Callithrix jacchus: one gene and its partners. The protein of the gene in region 1 interacts with the protein of each later gene in a biochemical or structural test. Links are inferred from orthologs where the notes say so. Each region holds a gene or a part of one and is shown in the gene's direction. Other genes may lie near its edges. The genes, in order: CDKN2A, E2F1, TRIP12, CCND2, SERTAD1 and CDK4.

The links.
Region 2: the proteins of CDKN2A (region 1) and E2F1 form a complex in vitro, tested with the Homo sapiens proteins (2 studies listed by BioGRID). The link is inferred for Callithrix jacchus from reciprocal best matches to the Homo sapiens genes CDKN2A and E2F1.
Region 3: the proteins of CDKN2A (region 1) and TRIP12 form a complex in vitro, tested with the Homo sapiens proteins (2 studies listed by BioGRID). The link is inferred for Callithrix jacchus from reciprocal best matches to the Homo sapiens genes CDKN2A and TRIP12.
Region 4: the proteins of CDKN2A (region 1) and CCND2 form a complex in vitro, tested with the Homo sapiens proteins (2 studies listed by BioGRID). The link is inferred for Callithrix jacchus from reciprocal best matches to the Homo sapiens genes CDKN2A and CCND2.
Region 5: the proteins of CDKN2A (region 1) and SERTAD1 form a complex in vitro, tested with the Homo sapiens proteins (2 studies listed by BioGRID). The link is inferred for Callithrix jacchus from reciprocal best matches to the Homo sapiens genes CDKN2A and SERTAD1.
Region 6: the proteins of CDKN2A (region 1) and CDK4 form a complex in vitro, tested with the Homo sapiens proteins (12 studies listed by BioGRID and IntAct, with this or other methods). The link is inferred for Callithrix jacchus from reciprocal best matches to the Homo sapiens genes CDKN2A and CDK4.

The regions. Positions count from the first base shown.
Region 1 is NC_133502.1:128,971,937-128,975,913, reverse strand, and holds the start of CDKN2A (cyclin-dependent kinase inhibitor 2A), read left to right. Parts: upstream 1-1,177; 5' UTR 1,178-1,253; coding exon 1,254-1,379; intron 1,380-3,977. UniProt on the Homo sapiens protein: Acts as a negative regulator of the proliferation of normal cells by interacting strongly with CDK4 and CDK6. This inhibits their ability to interact with cyclins D and to phosphorylate the retinoblastoma protein.
Region 2 is NC_133506.1:5,612,713-5,616,730, forward strand, and holds the start of E2F1 (transcription factor E2F1), read left to right. Parts: upstream 1-1,218; 5' UTR 1,219-1,337; coding exon 1,338-1,598; intron 1,599-4,018. UniProt on the Homo sapiens protein: Transcription activator that binds DNA cooperatively with DP proteins through the E2 recognition site, 5'-TTTC[CG]CGC-3' found in the promoter region of a number of genes whose products are involved in cell cycle regulation or in DNA replication.
Region 3 is NC_133507.1:151,303,880-151,307,649, reverse strand, and holds the end of TRIP12 (E3 ubiquitin-protein ligase TRIP12), read left to right. Parts: intron 1-1,177; coding exon 1,178-1,272; intron 1,273-1,779; coding exon 1,780-1,883; intron 1,884-2,732; coding exon 2,733-2,929; 3' UTR 2,930-3,270; downstream 3,271-3,770. UniProt on the Homo sapiens protein: E3 ubiquitin-protein ligase involved in ubiquitin fusion degradation (UFD) pathway and regulation of DNA repair.
Region 4 is NC_133510.1:17,668,491-17,672,537, forward strand, and holds the start of CCND2 (G1/S-specific cyclin-D2), read left to right. Parts: upstream 1-1,247; 5' UTR 1,248-1,519; coding exon 1,520-1,714; intron 1,715-2,518; exon of another isoform or gene 2,519-2,955; intron 2,956-3,498; coding exon 3,499-3,714; intron 3,715-4,047. UniProt on the Homo sapiens protein: Regulatory component of the cyclin D2-CDK4 (DC) complex that phosphorylates and inhibits members of the retinoblastoma (RB) protein family including RB1 and regulates the cell-cycle during G(1)/S transition.
Region 5 is NC_133523.1:35,982,860-35,986,839, reverse strand, and holds the start of SERTAD1 (SERTA domain-containing protein 1), read left to right. Parts: upstream 1-1,180; 5' UTR 1,181-1,306; intron 1,307-3,897; coding exon 3,898-3,980. UniProt on the Homo sapiens protein: Acts at E2F-responsive promoters as coregulator to integrate signals provided by PHD- and/or bromodomain-containing transcription factors. Stimulates E2F1/TFDP1 transcriptional activity.
Region 6 is NC_133510.1:61,953,310-61,957,523, forward strand, and holds the start of CDK4 (cyclin-dependent kinase 4), read left to right. Parts: upstream 1-1,414; 5' UTR 1,415-1,538; intron 1,539-1,945; 5' UTR 1,946-1,964; coding exon 1,965-2,179; intron 2,180-2,335; coding exon 2,336-2,471; intron 2,472-2,588; coding exon 2,589-2,756; intron 2,757-2,913; coding exon 2,914-3,023; intron 3,024-4,189; coding exon 4,190-4,214.

The DNA.
Region 1 (3,977 bases):
ATGGACAATTCAAGAGATAACAGGTATTATTAGCTTAGGGTATGCGGCACTGTTCTTAAGGTTCATATGTATTAATACATCAATTCATTTAAATTCACAACAACTCCTGTAAAGCAGGGGGCACTCATATTCCCCTACCCCTTTATAACTAAAAAAAAGAATGCAAGGTATTTTCAGTGGGAAGGGGAAATGTGCGTGTGAAGGAGACAGAACAGTGTGTAAAGCTGATCTTTGAATCACTGTGCAACTCTGCCTCTAGAACACTGAGCACTTCTTCTGGTCTAGGAATTATGACTTACTCAGAATGGAATCCGTCCTTCCAGTACTCCCTCCCCATTGGTACAATTCTCCCCTGTCCGTGGCACAATTCTCTCCTGTCGTATTAAGCAAACCTCATTTTTTCAGAGTCTGCCCTTATACCAGGCAATGCACATGTGTGAGAAATCCACGCCCTAGACAGCCGTTTTGCACATAGGAGGGGAAGGGGCAGGGAAGGAGAGAGCAGGCCGACTCTCCAAAAGGAATCCTTTGAACTAGGATTTCTGACTTAGTGAACCCGGCGCTCTCGAAAATCAAGGGTTGAGAGGGTAGGGGGACGCTTCCCAGTCGCACAGGTGATTTTGATCCTCGCTGGGCTCTCACAAACAGAAAAGAATAGTTTTGCTTTTTCTTATGAGTAAAAGAAGAAGCCATACTTTCCCTGTGACTCCAAATACCCTGATTCAATTTGGCAGTTAGGAAGGTTGTACCGTGGAGGAAGGAAACGTGGGCAGGGGGAGGGGTGTGGGGGGTGCGAAATTTCTTTTTGCTCTGAGACGAAAACGCGCGGTTGCTGGGAAGGCGGGGTAGCAAGGCCGGGAGCAGGGCTGCCGAAGGGCGGTGTAGGAGCAGGTGGGGAGGAGTCCAGCCTTTCCTCGCCGCCTCTGGGCTCCGGCGGGCGAGGGCCGCTTCCGGCTGGTGCCCCCGGGGCAGACCCACCTTGGGGCGGCTTCAGGGGTGCCACCTTCGCAGCGAGTGAATAGCACCTCCTCGGAGGACTAGCGAACGGCGCCCCCCCGCCTGGAAAGATATAGCCGTTCCGCCGGAGGAGTCGAGGGACAGCGTCCCGGGTGTTGGGGGTGGGGGCTCTTCCGCCCGCCCTCCCGGGTGGAAGAAAGAGGAGGGGCGGGCTGGTCTCGAGACTGCAGTGCGGGCCGCGAGAGCGCTGCAGGAGCGGAGAGAGGGAGAGCGGGGAGCGAGCAGCCGGGAGCAGCATGGAACCTTCCGCGGACTGGCTGGCCACGGCCGCGGCCCGGGGTCGGGTAGAGGAGGTGCGGGCGCTGCTCGAGGCGGGGGCGCCGCCCAACGCACCGAATAGTTACGGTCGGAGGCCGATCCAGGTGGGTACAGGGCCTGTAGCGGGAGCAGGGGGTGATAGGCGACTCTGGAGGACGAGATTTGCAGGGGAATCAAGTAGCGCTTTTATTCTGGAAAAAGAGAGGCTTCCTGCGCAGTTTTCAGAAGAGGTCTGTAATCAAAGACCTGGTCTTCTGGGGGCCCTGGGAAGCCACGGAAGGATTGAGGAGGCCCGCGCGTGCAGATCTCTGGAATGCTGTAAGGATCTGAAGAGGGGGGAAATATTTGTATTAGATGGAGGTATGCTCTTTATCAGATACAAAATTTACAAACGTTTGGGATAAAACGCGAGTCTTAAAGAAATGTAGGATGTACTGGAACTATTTAGCCCTGAATTCACAGAATCCTGGATGGAGCTTATCTTTCTTGCTAGGAGGTATTATCAGTAATAATCTATCGTGTATGTTGGAATAAATATCGAATATAAATTTATGATCGAAATTATTCAGAAGCGGCCGGCTGCGGTGGCTCACGCCTGTAATCCCTGCACTTTAGGTGGCCGAGGCGGCCGGACCACAAGGTCTGGAGTTGGAGACCAGCCTGGCCAACATGGTGAAACGCCGTCTCTACTAAAAATACAAAAATCAGCCAGACATAGTCGTAAACGCCTGTAATCCCAGCTACTCGGGAGGCTGAGGCAGGAGCGGAGGTTGCAGTAAGCCGAGATCACACCACTGCACTTCAGCCTGGGTGAAAGGGTGAAAGTCCGATAAATAAAAGAAAAGAAAGAAATTATTCCGAAGCAACTACATGTTGTGTTTATTTTTAAGTGAGTAGGGCAAAAATATATGTTTGCTGTAGGAACTTAGGAAATACAGATAGATAGATGCATATAATGAATCACATTCATGTGATCACACCAGATGTAATATGTAGTTACCATTTTGGGATTATCTGCTGACATTTTTGCTGTTTTTGCTATCTTTAGCTTTCTTGATATAATTTATTTGTGATAGAGTTTTAGAGATTTTTCATTTCCTCATTTTTGAAAAGTAGTGTTTCTCCTCTCCCCACTCCAGTTTTGTGAGGGGTTAGGGGATGATTTAAAAGTAATTAATGCCTGGGTATCTTTGCATCTCTAAAATTGTAACAGCAGCTTGGACCTGGAAGTTTGGCATTGTAGCCCTAAAATATTGTAGAAGAGACCTTATTTGTTTATAAGCAAAAAGGGAAAAGAAAAGTGGATAGTTTTGACAATTTTTAATGGGGAAGGGAGAAGAACATGTAGAAAAGGGGAAATGACGTTGGCTTAGAATCCTAACTACATTGATGCTTAATATAGAAACTTATTTGTATAACATTTTTAAGTACTAAATTCATATTAATTTCTTATTAAATGTGTTTAAGCATCCTACACATTTTCATTCAATTGATTCATTTTCTTTTTGCTTTGGATTTCTATCATGATTTAAATAATTACATATGGGTTACTTTTTAGATTTTTCATACTATGAAATATAAGAAAAACCATTAAGACTAGTTTTATGACCGAAATGAAGGACTTCATTGAACACACAAAACAATAAATTTACTGCAATATTTTGTCTTTTTGTAGCTGCAATTTGGTTTCTTGTACTTTCTCTTTGTCTCCTTGAAAAATAACTCAGTTTCACTTTCTTAGGACAGGATTTAGTAACTACAGTATAATTTAGTATAATTCTTTGATTTAGGCAAATTATACAATTTGTGTTTAATACAAAATGTGCCTAAAAATAAATAATTCTTCTTTATAACACCACCATCCTCAAGCTGATATAACAAATAACAGTTATCTCAAAATAAATTATCTGCTTCTACTATCATCTACCACATAATACTCAAATTTTAAGGTTGCTATGACTGCAGACAGTGTTTTAAAATTCCTCTTTGGAAATGGCTTTGTTTTCAAGATGATTTAGGAACCAAAGAAGTGACCATCTCTTATTTAATGAACTCTCAAATTATAAACCTGGAAAGTGTTTAAGTTTCCTATTGCTACTGTTACAAATTATCACAAATGTAGTAGTAAAGCAAACACAAAATTATTATTTTATAGTTCTAGAGATCAGAGGTCAAAAATGGGTCCACAGTGCTGCATTCCTTTTGGAAACTCTAAGGCAGAATCTGTTTTCTTGTCTCTTCCAGCTTCTGGTGACCATCAAATTCCTTAGATCATGGCCCCTGTATTTTCTCTCTGGCCTCTGATTCTAATATTTTCTCTCTGACTGTGACCCTCTAATAAAAACACTTGGGGTTATGTTGGGCTTACACTGAAAATTCCAGATAATCGCCCTCATGACCATTAATTCAATCACATCTACAAAGCCTCTTTTGCCACCTAAGGTAATATATTAACAGCTGTTGAGGATTGGGGCATAGATATTTGTGGGGACAGGGCATTATTCAGCCTACGACAGAAAGGAATTTTAGGACTAATTAAGACTAGCCATCTTGTTTTATATTTGAAGGAATTGAAGTTTTGGAATTGGAGAGCATTGTGCTAAATGAAATAAGCCAAACACGGAAAGACAAATATCACATGTTCTTACTTATTCGTGAAATATAAAACAATTTAATATTTCGAAGTAGAGAGTAGAATGGTG
Region 2 (4,018 bases), on another chromosome or scaffold:
GAAATGTGTGGTCAGTGTTGGAACAGAGGCAGCAGTGGGCAATAGAGGAAGTGAGTAGATCCTTGGGAGGGGTCCCTAGAAGAAGTGATGTGTTTTGTTTTTGTTTTGTTTTAGAGACAGGATCTTGCTCTGTTGCCCAGGCTGGAGTGCAGTGGCATGATCATAGCTCACTGCAGCCTTCATTTCTCGGACTCAAGCAATCCTCCCACCTCAGCCTCCCAAGTAGCTGGAACTACAGATGGACACCACCACGCCTGGCTAATTTTTGTATTTTTTGTAGAGAAGGGTTTCACCATGTTGCTCAGGCTGGTCTCAAACTCCTGGGCTCAAGAGATCCACCCTGCCCGTTGATTATAGTGATTCCAGGCATGAGCCACCGCTCTGGACCAATGCTTCATCCTATTGTAAACGTCTGTTACCTCTCTGTCCCCTATCCAGTAGACTGTGAGCTCCTTAGGGCCACGAATTAAGGATGGGGGCACAGAGTTAAGGATGGGCACAGAGCAGGCTCTCCTGACGTTTGTTGAATGAGTGAGGGAATGAATTAGTTCAAGCAGACGCTTTACTTGGCCATTGTAGATTTTGGCTAAAATGGGACTTGCAGGAAAGCCCCAGGCTAATATCTGGCGGGTCGTCCCTCCTCATTTCCTGGTACCGCTCTTCAGCTTGGGCTTTGGGTGAGTGGGATAGGGCTGGGTGCAGGGTTAGGATAATGTCATGGGTGTGGTAAGTTGAGGATAGGAGAGGTGGCTGATGGCTGGGCTGTGGAACTGATGATCCCGAAAAGAAGAGGGGGCAGTTTCTGGAGATGTGGGCTGAGGTTGTGGGGGCTACAGGTTGAGGGTCGCGTGAACAGAGGCTCTGTCCTGAACCTGCACTATAGAAAGGTCAGTGGGATGCGGGAGCGTCGGGGCGGGGCCATGTTCCAGTGTCCCCACGCCTCCGGCAGGGGACGCTCGGCCTGGGGGCGGGGAGTCCGACCGCGCCTGGCACTGTCTGGACAAAGCCTGCGCGCGCCCCGCCCCGCCATTGGCCGCGCCGCCCCGCGCCGCCCCGCGCCGCCGCCCCATCCCTCCCGTCGCCGCCGGTCCGGCGCGCTATAGCCAATAGGAGCCGCTGCCGTCGACTTCGTCACGGCCCGGGCAGCCAATCGTGGCGGCGCTCGGCGGCTCGTGGCTCTTTCGCGGCAAAAAGGATTTGGCGCGTAAAAGTGGCCGGGACTTTGCAGGCAGCGGCGGCCGGGGGCGGAGCGGGATGGAGCCCTTGCTGGGGCCTGCCGCCATGGGCCCGCGCCGCCGCCGCCGCCTGTCACCCGGGCCGCGCGGGCCGTGAGCGCCATGGCTTTGGCCGGGGCCCCTGCGGGCGGCCCATGCGCGCCGGCGCTGGAGGCCCTGCTCGGGGCCGGCGCGCTGCGGCTGCTCGACTCCTCGCAGATCGTCATCATCTCCGCCGCACAGGACGCCAGCGTCCCGCCGGCCCCAGCTGGCCCCGCGGCGCCCGCCGCCGGCCCGTGCGACCCCGACCTGCTGCTCTTCGCCACTCCGCAGGCGCCCCGGCCCACACCCAGCGCGCCGCGCCCCGCGCTCGGCCGCCCGCCGGTACGGACCCCAGGGACGCCGCGCCGGCAGCACTGCCTGTGCCCCCTGAGCAGACCTGGGCGGGTGCTGTGTTTGGCCTGGAGGCGGCAGGGGGCGGGGGAGGGGTGGACTGAGGCACCCAGGCTGGGCGGTGCAGAGCCTGGCTTGTGCCTCCAGGCTCCGCCCTGGGGTGCGGGGTGACCTCGGGCCGGTCCCTGTTTGCTCCTCTGCTCTGGGCCTGAGCTTCCTCACTAAAGCCTCCCCAGCGTCGGACTCAATGATAATAATGGCCCACGTGTATTCAACTGGCGTTTATTGCACGCCAGGCCTCGGCCGACTTCAAGCCAGCTGAAACTCACAACCCTGCTGTAAGCCGTGTTGTCACTGTGCCCAGCTGACGGAGGAGGACTGAGGCCCAGAGAGGGACAGTGACTTGCCCCTGGTCACACGGCTGCAGGTGGCGGGGCTGGGATTTGAACTGCGGCCTGCTGGCTTCAGATCAGAATTTGCATCTCGGTAGTGAACACAGCTGCTAGGGGAAGTGAAGGCGGGGCGAGGAAGGTCCTGGGGCTTAACCGTTGGTGAGCCACTGAGGAGACCCTCCTTCCTGCCTCGATGCTGACTGCCAGGTGCAGGACTGGCCGGCCAGGCCTCTGGGGACAGCCCTCCTGGCTGGGAGGCCTTCTCTGCAGGGGCGGGGCAGCTGGACCAGCTGCTGATCTCCTCCCTCTGCCTGTCCTTCCATCTGCCACCCTCCACCCTCCCAGGCCCTGGTTGCCATGGAACCTCATTAATCAGACAGACAGACCCCTGAGCCTCTGTAGAAGAACTAGGTGGGCTGGGCCTCTGGGAGCTGGAGAGGAGGCCCCCAGTGCCAGGAGAGAAAATGTCCCAGGGAGATCCTTTAATAAAGCCGTCCCTGAGTGCTGAGCTCAAGACCAGTTCAGACGGGGCGGGGGGTGGGGGGGGGGTGGTGCCCAGAAGAGGTGGCTGAATTACAGTGGGAGAAGGGATTGGAGGCGTAGAAGCCTGGAGCTGGGACCTGTGGGCTGCAGTACAGGGTGTGGAGACCAGTTTGACTGGCGCAGCCTATGGGTGAAGGTGGGGCTCTGATGTGCAGGCAGGGGCTGGTCAAGCAGGATGGGGTCTCAGCAGGGAGCTTGGAGCAAGTGGGAGGGGTGAGGCAGGGCTTAGGACTAGGAGGTAGAAGCTGCCTAACTGCTGATGGGGGTGAGGGTAGCAGCTGGTCCCTGAGGCATCTAAAGGGGCTCCCCCACCCCCTTGGCCTCATGCCCAGTGCTGCCTTCCGGAATCACCACGATGCTAATAATAATAACAATAGCAGCCACCATTGTTTTGAGGATGTCTTATGTGCCAGGCTCTGCCAAGAGCTTTACCTAATTAACTCATTTAACCCCATCAGCAGCAATCCCTTTTTACAGATTGGGAAGCTGAGGCCTAGAAATACTAGAATCTTCCCATGTCATTCTGCTATTGAGCGGGGGGTTGAATCTGTATTTCCTGTGAGGTTGACCTCTGGGATGCATTGCTTTCTAGGGATGCTGATAGAGGCTGAAGAAAGGGCAGGAAGGGCTTTTGGGGGCCCTTCATCTTAATGAGTGGGTGGGAGGGGTGGGCCAGGTGGCTTGTCTCCTGTACTCCGGGGGTTTGTCCCTGTGGGTAGTGCTTGGGACCTGGGCAAGCATCCTCCATTCAGCTGTGTGACAAGCATATAGCAGGCTCAGGTCTGTGGAAACCTAACAGAACCTGAGGGTCTTGTCCTCAAGGAACTGAACAGGATTATGGATTCTAGGATCAGAAGGAGAAACGGGGCAAAGAAGAGTGCCCTCCACTCTACCTGTCAGGGGCAGGCTTATTGGCCCGGGCATTCCATTCATTCAACAGTTGTTGAGTTAGTGAATGCCTAGGAGGCACTAGGCTCAGAGAAAAGGAGCCCCACCCTCAGAGTCCTTCAGGGCCAGGAGGTGTTTTCTGTACTTAGGGGCAGGAGACTGGAGCTGAAGTCCAGAAGGTCCACAGGTTCGGCTTTTGGCCTCTCTGCACTGGCATTTGTCTGGCACAGTCCCTGGAATAAGCTACAGACTTAGCTTCTGTACCAGCAGGCATTCGTTGAACACTGTATACCAGGCTCTGTGCAATTCAGCCATTTCTCTTGGTCCTGCCTGTCCACTTCCACAAACTCAAATATTTTAAACATAATACATGTTTACTGTAGAAAACTTAACTGTTTTTTTTTTTTGGAGACAGAGTCTCATTCTGTTATGCAGGCTGGAGTACAGTGGTGTGATCAGGGCTCACTGCAACCTCCACCTCCGGAGTTCAAGATATTCTGTGCCTTGGCCTCCCAAGTAGGTGGGATTGCAGGCACATACCACCACACCCAGCTAATTTTTGTATTTTTAGTAGAGACAGGGTCTTGC
Region 3 (3,770 bases), on another chromosome or scaffold:
CCTGATACTTATAGGCACTGCTCGTCACCTGGAATTGAATCATTGTCCTCACCATTTGCTATGTAACCTTATTCAAGTTACTGTATCTGATAGGACTGTTTCATTGGTAAAATTGGGATGACCCCTGTTATAGAGTAATGAAAATTAAATAGGCTGGGCACAGTGGCTCAGCCTGTAATCCCAGCACTTTTGGGAGATGGAGGTGGGAAGATCACTTGAGCTCAGGAATTTTAAGATTAGTGTGAGCAACATAGTGAGACCAGGTCTAAAATAAGAATACAAATAATTAGCTGGGTGTGGTGGTATGCACCTGTAGTCTCAGCTACTTGGAAGGCTGGGATTGAAGGATCACTTGAATTTAGGAGACCAAGACTGTACTTAGCTATGATTGCACACTATACTCCAGCCTGGGCAACAGAGCAAGGCTTTGTCTTTAAAAACAAAACAAATATATATATGTATATGTATATGAATATATGTATGATACTGGACAGTGAGGATTATATAATAGGTATTAAATTTCATTGGCCTCAAATTGGATTTTCTCAAAGTATACAGTCTTCTGCAAATCAGCAGTTAACCAGAGAAAGACATGGTTTTAATTTGAAACTGATGTTAGATTTTCTAAGGACATGAAAACATGTATTGCTTTCTAATATTTATTTGGTAATATTTAGGTTGGTCCCCATACAAACAACCGTGTAACATAGACGTGCTTCTCTTTACAAAGCATAAAGACCTACCCATTTGCTGTGTCTTAGTTCAGCTTGTTTCTCCCACTTCTTTCTCCAGCTCAATATTCTCCTTTGGGATCTGTTATATACTTTTGTGTTTCTGAAAGCCAGGATTTATAAAATCTCCCTGATTAAAAGCAGATTATCAATTTAAAACACCTAAAGTAATGAGAAGAAAGGAAAACTGAAATCAAGAGTATCAGGTGTTTTTGGTTTAAGAGGAACAGCTTGTCTGGAACCAAGTCTTTGCAGATGGGCAGGGTACTTAATAGTGTACAGCTAAAAAGGAAATGGAATCTCTCAATTTTTTTTTAGAAAGAAAGGGCCCAAGCAGAAGGTTTTAGTACTGAGACTGATATTCTTGTGTGGTACACGTAGACCTTTATTTTTACTCAGGTCAGCAGATGTTTCTTTAGTAATTCTTTTTACCTTTAAACTCACAGCTGGATCAGCTCCTTTGTGGCAGTAAAGCAGACACTTGGGATGCAAAGACACTGATGGAATGCTGCAGGCCTGATCACGGTTATACTCATGACAGGTAAGTATTGGGGTTCTCCAGTTTCTCTATTGATCTTAAAGAATGCGGAGAGGGGGGTGTGTGCACACGCACACATATGTAAACAACAAAAGTTGGAGTGGTTCATTTTAAAATAATGTCTACCTGTTAATGGATGCATACTTACTTCTCTTTTGGCCTTATTTCTCTCAAGATGACAAATTGAGATTCAAGAGTTAACTTTCTCAAGTATTTCTGTGAAAATATTAGGGGTTGGTGAAGACAGATTCAATTCTGTTCCACATTATTACATATATTAAAGCAGAACTATCTGTATAGTACCAGATCAAGCCTCACATATTACAACTATAATCATTCCATTTGAATTCTAGTCATAACAAACAAATCTGTACATTATAATGGAAGCATACCTGTAATTTAAAAGTGTTCATCTAATTTTGAGAAGTTTACAGTCAGTGATGTGATGCGATGTGATTAAAACTATTCTAACCTGATGAAATAATTTCGGTATATTTATTTCTGTTATAGTCGGGCTGTGAAGTTTTTGTTTGAGATTCTCAGTAGTTTTGATAATGAGCAGCAGAGGTTGTTTCTCCAGTTTGTGACTGGTAGCCCAAGATTGCCTGTTGGAGGTGGGTATGATGTTGATGTTAGCATTTATTCCCCCTATTGGTGTGTTTGTGGGTGTGAAACTTCGGTACCATAAGCAAGAGATTCTTTATATCACTTGCAGTGCCTCTTAGTTATTCCAGTGTCATCATGTTTCTTACAGTACATTGAGACCACTGGCAGGGCAATTCATAGGGAATGTCTTAAACATATTGAAGTAGGATTCCTCATGTACGTGTAATGCTGGTTAGATAAAATTCTAGGCCATTTGTACATTATAAACTCTTAGTTGACTTAGACGAGAATGGATTCTAAAATCTGTTTTTTCAGATTGAATTTTAATGTAAGTTAAATTGGTATTCTGTTCTTTTTGTTTTGTTTTGTTTTGAGACAGGATCTCACTCTGTGGCCCAGGCTGGAGTGCAGTGGCACCATCTTGGCTCACTGCAACCTCTGCCTCCTGGGCTCAAGTGATCCTCCTGCTCCAGCCTCCTGCATAGCTGAGACTCTAGGCACACAGCACCATGGCTGGCTAATTTTTGGATTTTTGTAGAGATAGGGTTTTGCCATATTGTCCAGGCTGGTCTCAAACTCAAGCTATTGGCCCACCGCAGCCTCCGAAAATGCTGGGATTACAGGCATGAACCACTGTGGGTATTCCATTTTAAAAATCAAAAGGCATAAAGAACAGTTGCCTCCATGTTATACATTGATTTTTAAAATGACAAATAAAGGGTGTTCCTTATACTTCATGTATATTGAATGTGTAGTTACCAAGCAAGAAAGAATACCTTGTGTGTAATATTGTATGGTACAGCAGTTAGTGCTTTTTAAAAACTTAAATTCTTCATCTTTCTTTTTCTCTTAATCAGGATTCCGGAGTTTGAATCCACCTTTGACAATTGTCCGAAAGACGTTTGAATCAACAGAAAACCCAGATGACTTCTTGCCCTCTGTAATGACTTGTGTGAACTATCTTAAGTTGCCGGACTATTCAAGCATTGAGATAATGCGTGAAAAACTGTTGATAGCAGCAAGAGAAGGGCAGCAGTCGTTCCATCTTTCCTGATCACAACAAGAAATGCAGTGTCTGCCTGTTACAGCAAAAGAAACAAATCATGATTTCTTTTCTTATGTATCACCTGAGTCAAGGAAACATGTTACGCCTTCTTGTTGTAGGAAAAACGGCTTGCAGATTATAAAGAGACACTTGGTTGATATTCATTAATGGCCCCATGGACTTAAAGTGATCAGGCCCTAAAACGTTGTTGTGATGAGGTTTCTTTAGCAAGTTATTGTTTAAATTATCATTTATTTGATGAGTGAAGTTTTTAACATGCTTTGCTGTGTGAAATTTAAAAAAGGGATGTTTTTCCAGGCTGGAACAATAAATGTCGCTGTGCAGTTTAATTCTGGGCTGTGTGTATCCATCTAGCTAAGTCTGCAGTTTGGTTTCCTCCAAAGACAACTCTTGTACATAAGTACAGAAATTAAAGCTCACATGTATTTGACAAATGTAGTTCAGTAGACTAGCTCTATGTGCTTTTCACTTTCCTCGGATTTCCTCTCCCTGATTCATTATTGTCTGTGCAGCTCACAGTTTTGTTTTGTTTTTTTTCTATGCAACACTCAGTTCTCAAATTTTCGTTAGCCATGGGCTTTTGTTGTCCCATGTTCTCTCCAGCTAAGATCTAATTTAAAATTCATTGGATTGAAATATATTGAATAGAATTCAGTCTTTGTAACTAGGTAGACTTTTCTTATAGCTTAGTTTTAATATAGCTGAGAGTATTACTGGCTTTTTGCCAGGTGACACTCTAGGACTGTTTACATGGCAATTCCAGTAGCAACAGCCTCTGGAATGAGACAAAAAAAGCTCATTTGTTTCTTTTATGAAGGTTAGAAAGTCT
Region 4 (4,047 bases), on another chromosome or scaffold:
GGGTGGGGGTTGGGGGTGACCGGAGGAAGGAGGTGTGGAAGCGCCAGCAGATCAATCTCCTGTAAAGACAGCCTTGACTGGAGGATGCGTTAGAGCACGTGTCAGGGCCGACGGTGCTGGCGGCGACTTCACCGCAATCCGCTCCCAGGGAGAAAGCCTGGCGAGAGAGGCGCGAACCCGGAGGGGTCGGCGAGGATGCGGGCGAAGGACCGAGGGTGGTGGCCTTATGCCTCCAGGGAAAGGAAGGGGTGGTGGTGTTTGCGCAGGGGAAGCGAGAGGGAGCCAGACCTAATCCCTCTCTCGCCCCCCTCCCCCTCCCGGGCCATTTCCTAGAAAGCTGTATCGGTGTGGCCACGCTCGGCGCAGACACCTCGGGCGGCTTGTCAGCAGATGCAGGGGCGAGGAAGCGGGTTTTTCTTGCGTGGCCGCTGGCCGCGGAGGAACCGCTGGGAACCGTGCCCCCGGCCTGCAGCGGCCCTGGGCGCTATACCGCTTCGCCCCAGGGCGCTCCTAGGGCCCCCAGGAACACGACGGTTTCTGCTCGTGAAGCACACTCTGTCCCTCCAGAGAAGCATCCCCCTTCCTTCCTAACACCCACCCCTCCCTCTTCTTCCTCTCCACACACTGCTGGGAGGGGGGGCGGCAGAAGGGACGACGTTCTGTTCCCTTTAATCGGGGCTTTTGAAACAGCTTCGAAGTTATCAGGAACATGAACTTCAGGGACGTGACCTTTATCTCTGGGTATGCGAGGTTACTATTTTCTAAAATCACCCCCTTTCTTATTTTTCACTCAAGGGATCTATTTCTAAATTGTCTGAGCTCACCCCATCTTCAAGTAATCTACCCTACATGCCTGGATCTTGAATACAAGGGCAGGAGAATTAAGATCCGTTTTGAAGGAGCCAAAGTTGGAGGGTCGTATTTTGGCGCGCTACACCCACAGAATGAGCGAAATTAGAGGGCAGAAATAGGAATCAGTAGTTTGTTGTGGGTTGCCCTGTCCGGGGCCCCTGGCACGCAGGGCTGGAGGAGGGAGAAGGGTTGGGGGGGCGGGAGACGGCGTTTGAAGTTAGGTCGGGGCAGCTGCTGTTCTCCTTAATAGCGAGAGGGGAAAAGGAGGGAGGGAGGGAGAGATTGAAAGGAGGAGGGGCGAGCCAGGAGGGGAGGGAAGGGGAGGAGGAACCAGAGCGGGGAGCGTGGGGAGAGGGAGGAGAGCTAACTGCCTAGCCAGCTTGCGTCACCGCCTCAGAGCGGAGAAGAGCGAGCTGGGGAGAGCAAGACCAGTTTGAAGGGGAGGACCGGTGCGAGTGAGGCAGACCCCGAGGCTCTGCTTGCCCACCGCCCAATCCTCGCCCCTCTTCTGCTCCACCTTCTCTCTCTGCGCTCACTTCTTCCCCGAACCCCCTTATTCAGCCAAAGGAAGGAGATCGGGGGAACCCTTTCCCTTCCCCTTCCAAAAAACAAAAAACACATTTCCAGTCCGCAGAAAGTAGGGGAGAGAAGGGTCGCCGGGCTGGCCATGGAGCTACTGTGCTGCGAGGTGGACCCGATCCGCAGGGCCGTGCGGGACCGCAACCTGCTACAGGACGACCGCGTCCTGCAGAACCTGCTCACCATCGAGGAGCGCTACCTTCCGCAATGCTCCTACTTCAAGTGCGTGCAAAAAGACATCCAGCCCTACATGCGCAGGATGGTGGCCACCTGGATGCTGGAGGTAGGTCTGCGGGCGGCGCTCTCTAGGAGCCAGGACCGCTCCGTGACTCTCGGCCCCCCGGCAGGAGCCCTAAACCTGGAAGAGGGCAGTCCCCGCGCCGGCCTCCCGGCTCCTGTGCGGGAGGTTACCGCGCGCCTTTTGGCGAGACGCGTGGCTTTATTACTCTTCCTCTCCAGATTAACTCGGGAAGGAGAGGCGGGAGGAAAATCTGGGGAAGAAATGAGGCTGTCCTGGGCGGGGGTGGGGGAGCATCCCGCGCGCGTGTGCCTGCATGTGGCTGCCTCTTCTTCCCACCCCCACCCCTCCACCCCCGCCCCGAGACCTGTGTTTTGCGAAGCCGCCGCGGCTGCTTTCGCTGCGGCCAGGAAGGGAGTCGGGGCCAGAAACTGGGACCCCGAGTAGAAAGGCAGCCCCCTCAAAAGGCCAAAGCACATTCGTCTTGGCCTCTGGTCCCTGCATGTGGTCGCAACTCCGCGCTGGCACTTCAGGGGGGAGGTGGAGGGAGGAGGCAGAAGGAGAGAAACGGGGAATTCTGGAGCCCCGAAACTTACAGGGAAGAAACGTGTGTTTCTGGGGAACCTAAAGAACCACGTCTTGCCCCTCACTCCAAGTCTTTGCCCAGCGAGCCGTGTGCCCACGTATGCACAGCTCTGGACCTGCCGTGGTTTCGCCATGTTGCTTTGCAAACTCCCGTTGGAAAGGCTGGGAAACGTCGCCAGCTTACCCTTGCACCCCATTATCCCGGCCACCCCGCTTTGAATCGTGCCCTCTCCCCCACCCCCCCACCTCGCGAAGGTTACTTACAGTTTGGCTTTCCAGCTTCCTCTGTGCGGAGATTTGGGTGGGGTAGGAAGGGGGGGAGGGTGTGTGTGTAGGGGGTATATCGGGTCACTCCTAAAGGAGAAGTCGGAGCCCCCATCTTCCTTAAAGGGCTCTCTGCTCCCGTCTGTCCCCCAGCTCGTCACCACGTTCCCTAGTTTCTGTCCTTGTGGGCCGCAGCCGGACACTCCCGCCGCGGCGCTCACCCCTTTAAGTTTCCTCCCGGGATCTAAAGCCCCAGGGGTCGGAATACAGACCTTTCTGGCACCCGAAACTTACGTTTCGGGAAGCCTGATTCCTCTTTGGGGTTTTCACGCCAAAAGGGCTTTTCTAGGATATTTCCTCGATTTTTAATTATTTTTTGAAACTGTCCCCCCCCTGCTCCGACTCCAGCTGCCGAGGCTGCGGCGCTCTTCCTCCTCTCCTCCCTCCCCCTCTCTTCCCCACCTCTCCCCACCCGCCCCCCCAATAGCGGCCCCTGGGCCGCAGGGACCCCCCCGGACATTTTTTTCAATTGTCGGGAATGATAGAGGAGGATCTGAGGATCCCGATGAGACCAAGAAGTGGACCCTCGGAGCCTCCAGAATATTTTTATTGATTTTTTGAAAAGATGACGAAATCCAAAAAAGAGTGAGTGAGTTTAGAGTGCGCGAAGGAGTAGCCAAAGGGAGCGTCGCGGAGCTGCCGCGGCTGCTGCGCACTTCCCCGACTCCCCGTTTTGGAGCTGTAGTTCACCCCCTTCTATAGGCTCCCTGGGAATGCCAAAGCCAGAATGGGCTATTCTAATGCACCCCAGTTTCCTCATCTTTGTTCTTTATTCTTATCACACATTCTACTCCCCTCCCCCCCCCACAAAAAATTAAAATTTTTTGTTTCCATACATTATGCATTTTTATTCTTTTTCTCTTTTGCTGATGCTGTGCTCTCCACCCCCGCCCCCCAACCCTTTCTCACTCCCATCGTAGGTCTGTGAGGAACAGAAGTGCGAAGAAGAGGTCTTCCCTCTGGCCATGAATTACCTGGACCGTTTCTTGGCTGGGGTCCCGACTCCAAAGTCCCATCTGCAACTCCTGGGTGCTGTCTGCATGTTCCTGGCCTCCAAGCTCAAAGAGACCAGCCCGCTGACTGCGGAGAAGCTGTGCATTTACACTGACAACTCCATCAAGCCTCAGGAGCTGCTGGTAATGACGGGCCCCTTCCTCCCTTCCTTTCTGCGATTCCCGCTTTCCCCTGGCCAGCAATATATCTTCTACTCACCACTTCCAGAGCAAATTCTTGGGATCCAAAAATGATCCCACCAATAGAATGTTCACACTTACAGGCGATGGCTCTTTTAGTAGGAAACCGCTGTCTTTTTTTTGGTGTTCCTACTATGTGCCCAGGCTCCGTGCCCAGCACTGAGGCTACATCTGTGAATAAGATCCTCATGGAGATTTGGGTTGGTGAGACTCATTCGCAATGTGTGTGCATGTGTGTAGGGGAAGCATGGAATATTTTAACTAACAGTGATAATA
Region 5 (3,980 bases), on another chromosome or scaffold:
TGTGTGTGTGAGACAGAGTCTCACTCTGTCATCCAGACTAGAGTGCAGTGGCACAATCTTGGCTAACTGCTACCTCTGCCTCCTGGGTTCAAGTGGTTCTCCTGCCTTATACTCCTGAGTAGCTGGGATTACAGGCACATGCCACCACGACCAGCTGATTTATTTTGTAGTTTTAGTAGAGACGGGGTTTCGCCATGTTGCCCAGGCGGGTTTCCAACTCTTGACCTCAGGTGATCCATCTGCCTTGGCCTCCCAAAGTGCTGGAATTATAGGCGTGAGCCACCACACTCAGCCCCAAACCATTTTTTATCTTTTCTTGACATTGAATTTCTGGCAAAATAGCCCAGTCGTGCTGTAGAGTGTCCCACATTCTGGATTTGTCTGACTGTGTTTAATTTGTTCCTCTCTATTGCCAGTAAACTGGAGGCTGAATCTAAAGGCCTGGGGAGATTCTGCTTATGCAGTGAACTGGGAGACTCCACAGGGTATGTCCTAATTCTTATTAATGTACTTCCTAATCCTAATGCATTATGGTAGGTGGCACCCAGTGTCCCGCCATTGGTAATGCAGAATTTCATTACATGATTAAGATTATGAGGGCTACATCATAAAAGGATTTCATCCTTTGCAGTTAGCAAATAACCTTTGAGATGATGCTTTAGAGCCTGTCAGGACCCTATCTCTAGACTGTGCTCTTATAGATACCATCCTATTTAAACTTTGCTGTGAAGAGGTAGGCAAGACTATCCTTATTTAACTTCGTGTAGCTTGGAGAGGTCGATCAGTTTTCCAAGGTCACAAATCTACTGAGTGGTGAATCCGGAGTCGGAATTTGAACCCGGGCATATCTGTAGTGTAGACCCCTGTCGGGGCGTGATGTGTAAGAACCTTAATTGCCATATTTGGCAGGTGCATGGGTAGTTGTGAGGGGCTCGTACTTTGAGAGGCAAAAGGCCCACCCGCCACCATTCCCCAGGGTAAAAAGCCACCTCTTTTCACCCTTCACTAGAGCAGCTGCCCGGGCATGCGCCCTGAAGCCAACCTCCCCTCCTTCAGAATCCGCCCCCTACAGGCTCCGCCCATCACCGTCCAGAGCCAATCCCTGGGGCGAAGGGAGGGGCAGCCACGAGAGTGGGCGTCGCTAAGGTTAGTTAGGAGTCTGGAGTCGTGCGCTCGAGTCAGAACTGCGTCTTGCGATCCAGGTGCCGGTTGCTGGAGGAGAGTGAGCAAGCGATGCTGCTGCCGCCGTTTCCTGATTGGCTGTGGATGGCTACCTCTTTGTTCTGATTGGCCGCTAGTGAGCAGGGTATGTAAATGAAGGGGCCTGGGGAGAGAAGGGGTGCCAGCGGCCGGGTCCTTTACGAAGTTCGATCCCTGGGTCCGACAGGTGCCCGTCTGGGCTGACCGGGATCGAGACACACGGGCCTCTATGTGCCGTCTGCCCCGGCCGGGCCGGGTGAATCACGCCGCAGCCCGAGAAGGGGGCGGAGGCGCCGGCTCCCTGGCTCCGGCTGCGTGACTCACCCGCCCCCGCCGCCGCCGCCGCTTCGGGAGGAGCCGCCTCCACTGCCGGAAGCGAGCGGAGGCCGGGCGCACAGAACAGCCCGCCGGGGGTCCCGGCTCTCACGGCCCCGGGAGGCCGGCAGGAATCACAGCCGGGAAGCGGGGCAGTAGGAGTCCTGGGGTCAGAGGGGCCAGAATCCCCGGGGGAAAGCCGGCCTGGGCACCGCTAGGGGGCGCCGGGACCCGGGGGCGGAGTCGGGGGTCGGGGGCGGAATTCCTGCGGTTCCTCACTCCTGGGACCGCGGGGAAGGGGACGGAGACCCAGTTTTGACTAGTGTGATGGTCCACTCTTAAGATCTTGCTAGGCAGGGTCCCGGGAACTGGACCCTGGACCCTTACTGGCCCAAAAAGGTAGGTAGCGCCAGGGGTCCAAAACTCCAACCCCACCCCCAGCCACTCCAAGAAGAGAGTGGGTCCTCAAACTTATCTCAGTGACTGACCCCAGTGCCCAGCACGATTTCCCGGCAAGCCCCGTCGATTCTGCCTCCCAAATAAATCGTGACTCGACCGACTTCCTTCCATACACTACCAGCTCCTCCTCCAGGCCATCACCATCGTCCGTCCCAACCGAGTACAGCTTACCAGTGGTTCTCAGATTCCCCCTCTTCCTCCCCTCCCCCCAGTCTTCCTCAAAGCAGCCATGGGGGGACGGAAACCCAGTCAGCTCACAACACCACTCCCCTCCCTGCTCAAATTCCTTTAATGACCGCCCACCACGCTCATGATAAAATACAGACTCCCTACTTCTGCATATGTGGCTTTCTGTGACCTGGCTGGTGCCCGTTTCCTCTGCTGCTCCCCAATCTGGTCTCCTACCATGTCACTCTCTGTATGCCAGGCATGCTAGTCTCTTTCAGTTCAAGCCCATCCAGCCTCTGGGTCTTTGGTTGCCTTTTTTTGTTGATCCCTCCTCCCAGAATCCTTTTCCCAGGGGGTCTCCCTTGGCTGACTTCTCTGGCCTGAGGGCTCCATTCAAATGTCACCTCCTCTCGGGAGCCTCCTCTGATCATCTGAAAGGTCTCCAGGACCTTTTAGTGTCTTCCTGTAATTCTCTGTACATTTCCTGTGTTTGCTTATTTATTTACTGTTTGAAATATATAGTAGACAATAAATATTAAACTATGTGAAACTAGTTTAGTATTTATAATTTATACATAATTACTTATAATAAACTATGTGAAACAGCTGCTTTTGTAGGGGAAAGGTGAATATTGGCCATTCCACATGGTTCACTGAAGACATTATAATGTTATCATTAAGAGTATTTATTGGTGGTCTGGGCGAGGTGGCTCACACCTGTAATCCCAGCACTTTGGGAGGCCTAGACAGGCAGATCGTGAGCGCGGTCAGGAGTTTGAGACCAGCCTGGTCAACATAGTAAAACCCTGTCTCTACTAAAAATACAAAAATTAGTGGGCGTGGTGGCGGGTGCCTGTAATCCCAGCTACTGGGGAGGCTGAGGCAAGAGAATTGTTTGAACTTGGGAGGCAGAGATTGCAGCGAGCCGAGATCTCGCCATTGTACTCCAGCCTGGACAACAAGAGAGAAAAATTGTCTCTCAAAAAAAAAAAAAAAAAAGGTGTGGCAGCTCAGTTATAATACCAGCACTTTGGGAGGCTGAGGCGGGAGGATGGCTTGAGGCAAGGAGTTTGACACCCTGAGCAACATAGTGAGACCCTGTCTCTACAAAAAATAAAAGGAGAAAGAAAAAAGAGTACTTATTGACTGACGCAGGAGGATTGCTTCAGGCTAGGAGTTTGAGACCAGCCTGGGCAACAAAGTGAGACACCATCTCTATTTTTTTAAATAAAGAAGTCCATAAATATACTTTATAAAATATAAAATACAAAATGTAAGAAGTCTATAGGCTGGGTGCGGTGGCTCACGCCTGTAATACGAGCACTTTGGAGGTCGAGGTAGGCAGATCACTTGAGGTCAGGAGTTTGAGACCAGCCTGGGCAACATGGTGAAACCCCATCTCTACCAAAAATACAAAAATTAGCCGGGCGTGGTGGCTTATAGCTACTCGGGAGGCTGAGGAACGAGAATCACTTAAACCCGTGAGGCAGAGGTTGCAGTGAGCTGAGATCATGCCATTGCACTCCAGCCTGGGCAACAGAGCGAGACTCCATCTCTTAAAAAAAAAAAAAGTCTATAAATATACATCTACAATTAAATAAAAATTGCCTATATCTTTAAAGTTCCCTAACAAAAGCTAGGCACAGAGACGCTAAGTGACTTGCCAAAGATCCTACCTGCAGCAGCTGTCAGATCCAGGCTTTGAACTTGACATTTGTTTTCCATAACTTGACTTTAACTCCCTGCTCTCTGCAGATGCTGAGCAAGGGTCTGAAGCGGAAGCGGGAGGAGGAGGAAGAGAAGGAATCTCTGGCAGTCGACGCCTTGTGGCTGGATCC
Region 6 (4,214 bases), on another chromosome or scaffold:
TACATTTATATATATTTTTAGACAAAAAATATATATTTATATATATTTTAGACAAATTGTCAATTCTCACAAATGAGACACTAACCACTTTCCTCCTTTACTCCCATACCCCTAAAGGGCTGGGAGATAAAGAACCTGGAGCCAATAAAACAAAAAAGGTAGGAGAAATCTACCTCTGTCAACCTAGGTGTCTGTGGGCAGAGGCCATTTGGGAAAAATGGTGCTAAGTGCTGGTTCTGGATGGTGCTAAGTGCTAAGAAAGCTGCACTAGGGAAAAAGGGAAGCACAGTGACTCCAAATGAACAGTCACAAGCTTGCAGAAAAGCACGTCATTCCCATTTACTGTGGTTGTCTGGAGGGTGCAGGGGGTGTGGTGGTAACTTCTTGCACATGCGCCTGTCTACGACATGTAATAAGTAATATAACATACATACATATATATATACCTAGAAGTATATATATACACACATATATCTTAATCTCACATAATCATAGAATCTTCCTACTGAAAAAACAAAAACAAAAAACATAAAGGTCAAGTATTCCTGTCTCCTGCTCATCAATAACTTCTCTGCCAGATGGCCTCAAGTCTTTGCATTAACACTTCCAGGAAGGTTTGGAAGTTGGGAACTAGAGGGCATTACTTTGCCACTGTTCCTGTTGTCTTACTGTATTAATCTGCCTTCTGTCCATCCCCTAATTGAAGTTTTGCCCTCCAGTGGGCATTGTCTACTACCTATTTTATAAGACCCCATTGTTGGCTACATCTTTATAGATAGTCGTACCACTACTTTAAAGAGCCAGTGACAGACACCAAAAACAAAACAAAATAAAAACCCACATACACACTGGCAACAAGCACTCAGTACAATTTTGTAGAATGAATGAGTGAAACAATGGCACAAATGAGAGTATGTTTTCTCACGGTGAAGCAAAAAGGTGATAGTACCACCTCTGGTCCCCCAACTCCCACCCTCTCCCCAATGTAGTCAGGCTGAAAGACCAGTGAAACAATCTTTCAGCCCGGAGTTGGGCTCTGGGTGGCCTGGGTTGCCATGGCACCGCCTTGGGCTCCACCCTCTCTTGCCCCCTACCGCGCCCCCCCACCCGCAGCGGGGTTGTGGCAGCTAGTCACGTGCCCTTCGCGTAACCACACCTCTGCTCCTCCGAGCAATGTCAAGCGGTCACGTGTGATAGCAACAGATCACATGGCTGTATCTCCCCTCCGCCCCTCTTACGCTCTTAGCTCTCCTCCCCGTCAAAGCGGCTCCTGGCCGCCCCCACAGCGCTTGGCTGGCGGTCACGTGCCCAGAACGTCCGGCGTTCGCCCCGCCCTCCCAGTTTCCGCGCGCCTCTTTGGCATCTGGTCACATGGTGAGGGTGGGGGTGAGGGGGCCTCTCTAGCCTGCGGCCTGTGTCTATGGTCGGGCCCTCTGCGTCCAGCTGCCCGGGACAGAGCCCGGGTGTATGGGGCCGCAGGAACCGGCTCCGGGGCCCCGATAACGGGCCGCCCCCGCAGCACCCCGGCCTGGCGTGAGGTAAGTGCAGCCCCATCCCAGCTTTCCACGCGTGCGTTTCGAGAGCTGGTTATGAAAGGGTCGTTCAAGGGCGGGAAATGGGGCCTTTGTGGTCGTGGGAAGGTATAATTTTAGGGACTGAGGTGTAAGATCTTCGATGCAAGGCGTGTGTCATGTGTGATCTTTGTACGGGGCGCGATTGTCCCAAAAGAAAAGGCATTTTTTATTGTAGGGCCTCACGTGGCTGCAGGGGTTGGTATTGAGTCATTGTGTTATCTCCGGGGCCGGCCCAAGGAAGATTGGGAGCGGGGGATGGGATGCTGGTGTTGTTCTTTGTGCTTTTTCTTGGGAGTCCCTTTGTTGCTGCAGGCTCATACCATCCTAACTCTGTAAGGGACTTTTAGTGATAGGAGTCTTTGTGATTGTAGGGTCTCCCTTGATCTGAGAATGGCTACCTCTCGATATGAGCCAGTGGCTGAAATTGGTGTCGGTGCCTATGGGACAGTGTACAAGGCCCGTGATCCCCACAGTGGCCACTTTGTGGCCCTCAAGAGTGTGAGAGTCCCCAATGGAGGAGCTGGAGGAGGCCTTCCCGTCAGCACAGTTCGTGAAGTGGCCTTACTGAGGCGACTGGAGGCTTTTGAGCATCCCAACGTTGTCCGGTGAGAAGGCGGTGGAGGGTTGGGAGTGGGCAGTAAAGGGAAAAGACAGTCTATAGGTGGGGTGTGGTGATCTGGTGAGAAGTGGGGACCCAGAGGAAATAATGAGAGGTCATGTGGGTTAAAGGGGATTGACAAGTGAGCATTTACTCTGGCCAGGCTGATGGATGTCTGTGCCACATCGCGAACTGACCGAGAGATCAAGGTAACCCTGGTGTTTGAGCATGTAGACCAAGATCTAAGGACATATCTGGACAAGGCACCCCCACCAGGCTTGCCTGCAGAGACCATCAAGGTGAGTGGGGTTGGTAGGCATTGAGAGGTGAATTGGGACCTTTGTAGTAGAACCTCCTGGGATTTCAGGGATGGTGCCTAGTTTCCAGTGCATCTGTTCCTCCCCCTTCTGAACTAGGATCTGATGCGCCAGTTTCTAAGAGGCCTAGATTTTCTTCATGCCAATTGCATCGTTCACCGAGATCTGAAGCCAGAGAACATTCTGGTGACAAGTGGTGGAACAGTCAAGCTGGCTGACTTTGGCCTGGCCAGAATCTACAGCTACCAGATGGCACTTACACCTGTGGTCAGTAGAAAGATGGTACCAATATGGGTTCTGGTTGGGAGTAGGAGAGTGGTGGCCCATAACAATTGAGAAGTCATGTGCTTCATGTGTTCAGTTAAGTCAGTTGTATTTCATGGTAACGCATGGGATCCCCATCCATTTTTCCTATCCCCTTTAGGTGGTTACACTCTGGTACCGAGCTCCCGAAGTTCTTCTGCAGTCCACATATGCAACACCTGTGGACATGTGGAGTGTTGGCTGTATCTTTGCTGAGATGTTTCGTCGAAAGTATGGGACCCACATACCCTGGACCACCTTGAATTCCCCAAATCTCTTGTTCATAAACCACATCCAAACCTCCCTTCCATTCTTCTTCTTTTTTTTTTTTTTTTTTGTTGGAGACAGGGTCTTCTCTGTTGTCCAGGCTAGATTGCAATGACATGATCACAGTTCACTGAAGCTTCAACCTCCTGGGCTCAAGTGATCCTCCCATCTCAGCCTCCCGAGTAGCTCACACTATAGGCGCACACCTCCATGCCTGGCTATTTTTTAATATTTTTGTAGAGATGGGGTCTCAGTATATTGCCCAGGCTGGTCTTGAACTCTTACACTCAAGCAGTCCTCCCAACTCTACCTCTCAAAGTGCTGGAATTACAAGCATGACCTACTGCACCTGGCCCCATTCGTTTACTTGAGTTCTACTGACTACCTTGGCCATAACGGGAAGCACTAAAATGTTCTGGAATTGGGAACTTCATATCCCTTTATTCTCCTTTATTTATTTATTTATTTGAGACAAGGTCTCACTCTATCACCCAGGCTGGAGTGCAGTGGCACAATTACAGCTCACTGTACCCTCTACCTCTTGGGCTCAAGCAGTCCTCCTGTCTCAGCCTCCTGAGTAGCTGGGACTACTACAGGCGCACGCCACCATGAATGGCTTTTTTTTTTTTTTTTCAAGACAGAGTGTGGCTCTGTTGCTAGGCTGGAGTGCAGTGGTGCGATCTTGGCTCACGGCAACCTCTACCTCCCGGGTTCAAGCAATTCTTCTGCCTCAGCCTCCCGAGGAGCTGGGACTACAGGTGTACACCACCGTGCCAAGCTAATTTTTATATTTTTAGTAGAGACGGGGTTTCACCATGTAGGCCAGGATGGTCTCCATCTCTTGGCCTCATGATCTGCCCACCTCTGCCTCCCAAAGTGCTGGGATTACAGGCGTGAGCCACCGCACCTGACATTTTTTTTTTTTTTTTTTTTTAAGAGACAAGGTCTTGCTTGTCCAGGCTTATCTAGAACTCCTGGGCTCAAAGAGTTGTCTCACCTTAGCATCCCAAAGTGCTGGAATTACTGGTCTTTATTTGCTATACTTTTTATTTTGGGCTACTAAGTAGTAACAGCCATTCGACTATGATACTTTAAAAATGACAGCTACCTTATGTCTCTTCTTACCTTAGGCCTCTCTTCTGTGGAAACTCTGAA